Danio rerio: one gene and its partner. The protein of the gene in region 2 interacts with the protein of the main gene of each other region in a pairwise test. Links are inferred from orthologs where the notes say so. Each region holds a gene or a part of one and is shown on either strand. Other genes may lie near its edges.

Region 1 (4,092 bases), on a different chromosome or scaffold from region 2:
ATCTATTAGATTTTCACTGACAGCCTAAATTTAGCCTTGTTTTAGCCAAGATGACTGTCAAATGTTCTCGCTTTATTGATTATCAGTATGCTCTTGTCTCGGATCAAATCAAATCATATTGGAGAGCTTGAACATACACACACAAAAAAAAAAGAAAAAAAAAGACTTTTGCTGCTTGTTCAAACTAAACTGTTTTTAAAACTAAAAATCTGCTATTTTACTTTTTTTTTTCCAGCAGCTGGGGTGCTGGAATTTTTTTTTTTTTAAATAACGGCCATTAAATTACTGACATTTACTGTGAAATAAAAAACAGTAAATTACAGAAATTTACCAGAAATTTAAACTTAAGGAAATTTCTGTAATTTAACGTTCATTATTTTATGGTAAATGTCTGTAATTTACCGTCTGTTTAATTTTTTTAAGGCTAATTTAACGGCACCCCAGCTGCCAGAAAAAACAGTGTACCTGAGTTTTTTACAGTGTACCTGAGTTGAAACAGCACAATACTTAAGTTTTTGGGGACAACTTAACTGTGTTATGTTCAGTCGACTTATGATTGTTAAAATGATCAAGTAAACTTAATCGATTTGTATTGGGTCAATATGAAGAAATTGTGTGAAACCCAGAATTTTTTTAAAGTGTAGGGGTATTTAGTTCAAGCTTCTGTAGTTAAAATAAATACTACAACATTTTGTAGTTAAATGTCAATAAAAATATATTTTAAAAAATCATAGTATTTAGTCTCTACTACACTTTATCTGTACTCTGCACTGTAAAAATATCTGTTAATTAACAGTTTCCGAATTTTCTGTTTATTTACGGTTGTGAATTGATGTTGAAAATTCTACTCTTCAGTTTAACAAAGTAACTTTTGTTGACATTTAAATAGTTTTAGACAAGAAGTAATATAAGTAATAAGAAGTTTAAGAAGTAATATATAGAGAACTAAGTTTGTGAAATAACAGAACCTGGGAGTTTATTACCAGGTTTTTGCAGCATAATATACAACACCAACCCAAAAGACCAAGGTTCCATAGTGCAATTCAAAAGCCTAAATAAGTGGGGTAAAAACATGAATCATAAAATACGGAAAAACTGTCAATTTACAGATATTTTTTTACAGTGTGTACTTTCTATAATCTATACTTTTACTGTACAAATATGCGTTCTTTATTATATGCCAGACTCTGTCAAACCCATGTATAATATCATGGCTGAAATAATATGAAAATATTAATTATTAAAAATGCTAATGTAATGACTGCATTTGTTATCATTTTTAAGAAGTATATGTCCTTGAAATGCAGGCCTCTGGGTTCATGCAAACATTAGCAAATCGATTCAGTCATTACTAGGAAGACAGAAAAACAAAAAAGCCATTTTACACAGAAAGCTGATTTGACTGCTGTGACAGAGGGAAGCTGTTTCTTGAATAAACACTGAGCTTTAGTCCAATTCCCTCGATAGATAGTCTCTTTGTGTTACTGCATGTGCAGAGGCTCAGTGCTTTTGCAAATGTAAGCTTTGGGAAGGATTGCGCTGACTTACTACCGAACGTAAAAGCAAAGCACATTTAAATGTTGCAATTTGTATTTTGAGAATTAATACTGATATTGCGATGACATTACGATTACAACTTTGCATTTTTAGAAATGGGGAAACTGGTGTGGGAAAGAGCTTCTGTCGTAGGCTTAACATTCAATATCAGACCTTCCTTCACTGTAAAAAAAATGCTGGGTTCCACCACAAAATCTCTTCTTGTCAAGTTAACTCAATGGCTTTTACAACTTAAGGTTGATTGAACATAAAACAATTAAGGTGTCCCAAAAAAAAAAAAAAAACATAAAGAATTGGTCTGAGTTTGAAGAAGCAGCAAAAATATTCTATGTGTGTTTGTTTTAGATATAGTAGCCAATATCTATGTACCAATCAGTATCTATCTATCTAGATAGATAGATAGATAGATAGATAGATAGATAGATAGATAGATAGATAGATAGATAGATAGATAGATAGATAGATAGATAGATAGATAGATAGATAGATAGATAGATAGGATTCATCCACTTCTTTAATAACATGTTAAAATAACATGGTTAAGTTTTATTACTTTGAATCAAATTAACCTTGTAATTTTAACTTAAATGACCTTAAATTGGTTTAAAAAAGCTTCTTTAAGCATATTAAGCTGACACATAATAAATATATTCTAATAAATTATTATTAATATTAAAACATGTTTTCATAAACGATCATATAAGATTTGTTGTGTGTACACTGTTCAATATTCCTAGAGTAGGCCTAATAGCAAATTTATAAAAACTTGGAACTATAGAAAAAATTAAGAAAAATAAATCTATTTAATAATTTGTACAAAATATAAGCAGGTTTTACTATCCATTAATTAACATAACACTAATGTGTAGGCTGATGTTTATTTGATACATAAAGTATACCTATGCAAATTCACACATTAAATCAGGAGTTTTGATATCAGCTGTAAACATGAATTGATAAAGGTTGTAGAGCTAAGGCGCACGATGATTGAACAAGCCCCCGAGTGTTACAGCGCGCACACGCTATGTGAACCAACTGTGAAACAACTTCACACATCTATTTCTGGTCTCAGCAGTTTTCAGTCTTTTGAACAAACTATGTGGAAAAAAAAATCTAATTACTTTACCTGTTACCGCTGTGTCGCTGTTTAGCAACAAAGATAAGAAACCTCCAGCAGATAAACTGCCACCTCCTTGGTGTCTCACCCTCAATTCTTCTACCGCTACCTGCATGCGCGTGCCCGTGTATAGCTGCTTTGGCACACCAACAGCCCACAAGAGGAGGGAAAATGAGCATAACTTTGACTCCGCCCTGAAGAAGGCTGGAAGTCTGCAGATCATACTTGTGTTAGTATTTGAAATATTCACTGTTAAGTGGGGTTTTTAAGTTATTATTATTATTTTTTGTTTGATTGTTTTAAATATAGCCGCTTTTTTCGTTCTATATAAATTGAACCGTGTTTTGGTGTCACGATTATAAAGTAAAAATGTTTTAAACAATTTATTACGATTTAATTACATGTATATATTAGAAAAAAAAAGTTATTAAAAAATGCTAAATTGAAACGTTTTAGAGTCCAAGTCTTAAATTTAGTCATGTTATTTTGATACTATATGTACGGTATATATAACATCATACTGTGGGTAGTCCAACATCTAACTTTTTAACACAGATGAAACGGCCATTTTTTTTGCAGTTCTGTAGCAAAGCATGCAGCAGGAAGCATGAAAAGAACTTTCTGGTAGTAAGTGGTTTCTCTCTCTCTCTCTCTCTCTCTCTCTCTCTCTCTCTCTCGCACACTAAACAAGAATACATGCCTGTATATGCATTTATCAACAACCAAAACATTTAAAATATGGAATATAAAGAATCTGCTTCTGGTTTAGGTTTAATCTTGTCCAAGTTTTAAGTCACATAATGTGCTCGTGAAATATTTTGAGCAGGATCGAGACCTCCTGATCAAACCTTTTTTTTTTTTTTTTTGCACCTGCAGTAACCAGCCCAACACCTCAAGCCACAAATAACGTTTCTACATGACAAAACAGTTTTACCATGTCGTGTTTTACCAAGTTAGTTTTTTTAATCAACATTTTAAAACCACAAAGAGAACTAAGAGTGAATTCATTTTTTTTAAATAATAAAACCTCTTGCTCTCTACAAATCATACCTTATCAGAGACATTGTATACTACTTGACAAAAGTCATGTCGCCTATCCAAGTTTTTTTTAATTCAATTTACCTTTTTTTTTTTTTTTGTATAGCACTTTTACATTGTAGATTGTGTCACTTAACAGAAATAATGTACAGTATAGAATATAAAGTCATGGTGCAGTGGAAAAAGAATTAATATTGTGAGTGACTCCCATGAGCTTGGAGGACTGCATTTATACATATCTGCAATGACTTGAATAACTTATAAATAAAGTCAACTGGAATGGCAAAGAAAGCATTCTTGCAGGACTCCCAGAATTCATCGAGATTCTTTGGATTCACTCCTTAATCTTACAAAGACATGCTCAATAATGTTCAGATTTG
Region 2 (4,089 bases):
CAGTGGGTAGCACGATCGCCTCACAGAAAGAAAGTTGAGGGTTTAAGCCTTGGCTGGGTCAGTAGGCATTTCTGTGTGGAGTTTGCATGTTCTCCCCATGTTCAGGTGGGTTTCCTCCGGGTGGTCCGGTTTCCCCCACAGTCCAAAGACATGTTGTACAGGTGAATTGGGTATGGTGTATGTGTGTGAATGAGTGTGTATAGATGATTGCCAGTACTGGGTTGCAGAGAGAAAGGAACAAACTGTGTAAAACATATGCTGGATAAGTTGGCCGTTCATTCTGCTGTGGCGACCTCAGATTAAGCCGAAAGGTAGAGGAATGAATGAATGAATAAATTGGCTGTCCTATATGGGCGTTTCCTAGTGTTGGGTTGTGGCTGGAAGGGCATCCAATGCATAAAATATATGCTGGATAAGTTGGCGGTTCATTTTGCTGTGGCAACCCCTGATGAATAAAGGGACTATGCTGAAAAGAAAATGAATGAATGAATTCAAAAGTGTGCCAATAAGGTGCAAATAAATTGTACTTAAAGATCAAGTATTTTAAGTGTACTTTATGTATGCTAAGTGAACTTGTATAATAATGTACATTACTAACAAACAATACTATTTGAAACTGAATTGACCCTTTTTTAAATAACCTAACACTATTATTTTAACTTATTAAATTAAAAATGTTACGTCGTTCAAATTGTTAAATAGACTCCTTTATTACTCCAACTTCACTTTGAAGCACAGTAAAACATAATTTTATTTATTTTGCAAGTATAATTGCACATGACGTGACCGTAACACCAAACTTCTAGATTAAATTTTGGCTATTGTTTTTGCTCTAACTTTTCTGTGTTCCTAATTAGACATTAATTTACATGCGATTTGTAACTTAGCCCCAAACTAAATGATAATTTTAAGCAATCCCATCTCTCTTGATGCTTGATTACCAACGTCTCTCTAAAGTCTAATATTGTGTACGTGTAATTTTATGTACATTTCCTAGAGTAGCCTATATAAAATAGGATGTTTTAAGTTTAAGTATAGGATTGCTGTATCAATGTATTTTTGTAAGCGCACTGTTGTATCCAAGATTTGTATTTACGTTGTTTTTAATATCCAGAGGGCGTATTGCTTTATTGAATATTTTTGTATAACCTGTAATATTAAAAATACAGTGCGAATTATGGCGCTGGTTGCCCGAGCAACCGCTGGAGCAACAGGGAAGAGGAAATCGCCGCTCCAGCTCGAGATCGTTACGGTATGGGATACATGGCATTTCCTGTCAGTGTAAATAGACGGTCGGCTGACATGGCTTCACGTACTGTCCACGGCTGCCTCTGAGTAAACAAAAGGGCATTTACCGAAGCTTTCTCCATGACAGAGCCGTTCTTCACTGCAGATGCATGCGGCGGCGGGCTAACGTGCAGATGTTAGCGAGCTAACATGGACCTTGGATCGATGCTGTACAACAGTTTTAACAATATAACATGGAGCACAACGACACTACCCTTGGACAGACTAATTAGTTCCTACAGACTGCCACAGATCGTCAAGTTGGACAGCGGTAAGATTTCTCCGAGTTGTGCTGTGTTTCTGTTGTGTGCGGCAGCTGCGCGTGGGCGGTTGCGCTCCTGTGGAATTCCAATAATTAGCCGCTCCGCGCGCTAAGCTAACGAGACCCTGCACTCAGAAGACACACACACAGTGGACACCTTCAGTCTGTAGGCTTCACCGGCATGCCTTAAACAGCCTACGCCAAGAGCGATCAGTTTAGTTGTTGTTTTGAACCCAGTGAGCACAAACAGTCAAATAAAGGGCGAAAAAGAGAGGCATGGACGTTAGCGAGCTAACTCGAATTAGCCAGAGGCCATAGAGTTAAATAACAAACTGCAGGCAGTCAACCCCCGATCTCAAAACATTTCATTTTAATCGTATAGGGGGGAAAGTTTTTGTTGCTTTCTAACCTCTGCGAACTCGAAGCTAAACTTTAGAAAGAGCTCACACAAGTTTATTTACAGTTAATAGTGAGGTGATTTATATAGACTTGATGAAAAAAAAAACATTTGTGACGCAACAAATCTAGACTTGGCGAAGTTGTTTGGTTATTATCAATGTTTTATCACGTCACTGACAAACTGCAAGAGCTGTGTATTTGAGCTGCGCTCTGATTGTGTGTGTGTGTGTGTGTGTGTGTGTGTGTGTGTGTGTGTGTGTGTGTGTGTGAAGATGGAGGAAGTCATAATGTCAGGGGAGCTAGATCATTATCATTATGGGAACTGGGGCACTATGATTACTCTGAAAAACCCTTATGATCATTATTATGAACAGAAAAGACTGAGCTTAAAGTGATCCGTGATCCATTTTCTCAACTCTAATATTAATTTATGTGTATGCTCTACTTTCAAATACTCCTGTTTTTACATTCCTGTAGCTCAAATAGTTGAACAAAAAAGTGAGCTCAATACTCACAAGGAAGGGAATGATCAAAAGTGCACATGTAAATGTGTTCAATGATATGTGAGTCACTTTGGGCACAATCATGTGCCAATTGTAAATATTGTCAGTTCAGAAATAGGGTCAAATTATACCCTTATAATGCTAGTTCCAACTGCTGATCTTAATATCCGTGTCATTGTGGACTTGGTATTTGTTAGCATATTCTTAAGTACCACTTAAGCTTTTTTTTGACAGAACTCTGTAGTATTAACGTCACCGTTCTATACTGACGTGACATTGTGTTTTGCCTCAGGAGAATCGGTGGAAGGGTTGAGAGAAAATGACTACCTCTTGATTCATTCATGCCGGCAGTGGACCACAATTACCGCCCATAGCCTAGAGGAGGGCCATTATGTCATCGGACCGAAAATCGAGATCCCTGTCCATTATGAGGGTAAGGCCACTCAGCTGTTGCAGTGCAGGATGTACTGTTTGAAGAAACAGCTTTCAATTTTTTTCAAAGCCATTTTGGTTTTTAATAAGAAGGCAAAGGACATGAATGTTAGTCTGCTAGGATAACATTTTGAATTGATTTGAAACAGAAAGGAGGAGGATTTGTTCTGCTGTGTTGTACTGCTTTTTGTTAGAGTTCATTAGCTAATTGGTCTCCATATTGACGTTATTTTGGCTAAGGAGAGGGTCAGTTGACCACTTAAGGTGAAACAAGACCTTCCTTTAAATCTATATACCACGAAAGACATAATCTTTGCAAACTGTCTGTTTTCACCTCTTTCACTATTCAGTTTCTGTACAATTTGTCATAATAGTTAATGGTTTTATTAAATAAATAAATATATTAATTACTTACATGAAACTGGTTTCCCAGACTAAGCTTAATTTCCGTATAAATGAGAGAAACAAGGTGTCTCTCATTTCAGAGGCTGCATCCTCCGATGGATGCATTCGAAGTGCACTGCGTCATCGCGACGTGACGAAGGCTGTCTCATTTCAAAAAAATTCGAAGGCTCCTTCAAACACAGCCTTAAAATGCGCCCTTCGTTTCCCAGATAATAAAGCACACAACATCATAAGATGTTAATATTAGGTTAGATTAACATCCACACAACTTCAAGCTGTAACATCATTAGACGTTGATATTTGGTTGGTTTTGAGTTGGAGTCGGACATTGACGTTGGCCTGACGTTGGGTTCTTCTTATGTCTACCCAATTTTCATTTCCAAACATGCAACATCCCCGGAAAACGTCAATCTGACACCATGTTGATGTCTTTTGCCTGCTGGGTGTTTAAGGCCATTTCGGTCATTATACAGTAATCATCCATCATCATCTTTTAAGTGACATACATCTAAACCAGGGGTGGCCAACCCTGTTCCTGGAGAGCCCCCTTCCTGCATATTTCATTTGCAACCCATATCAAACACACCTGAACCAATTGATTAAGACCTGAACACCACGTGATAATTACAGGCAGGTGTGTTTGATAAGGGCAGCAACTGAAATCTGCAGGAAGGGGGCTCTCCAGGAACAGGGTTGGCCAGCCCTGATCTAAACAATGACTGGGTCAATGCGTGTAAAGATTTTGGTCATCCTCTTGGACACTTTTAATGTTTCCAAACAGTTTGCTGCAATTATAAAAAT

Evidence for each region. The genes of interacting proteins can lie anywhere in the genome.
Region 1: the proteins of garem (region 2) and grap2a interact in binary tests that used the Homo sapiens proteins (3 or more experiments, as listed by UniProt). The link is inferred for Danio rerio from reciprocal best matches to the Homo sapiens genes GAREM1 and GRAP2.

What each region holds. Positions count from the first base shown.
Region 1 is NC_133178.1:28,191,779-28,195,870, reverse strand, and holds the start of grap2a (GRB2-related adapter protein 2a), read right to left. Parts: upstream 2,807-4,092; 5' UTR 2,684-2,806; intron 1-2,683. UniProt on the Homo sapiens protein: Interacts with SLP-76 to regulate NF-AT activation. Binds to tyrosine-phosphorylated shc.
Region 2 is NC_133182.1:41,687,907-41,691,995, forward strand, and holds the start of garem (GRB2-associated and regulator of MAPK protein 1), read left to right. Parts: upstream 1-1,278; 5' UTR 1,279-1,437; coding exon 1,438-1,558; intron 1,559-2,743; coding exon 2,744-2,884; intron 2,885-4,089.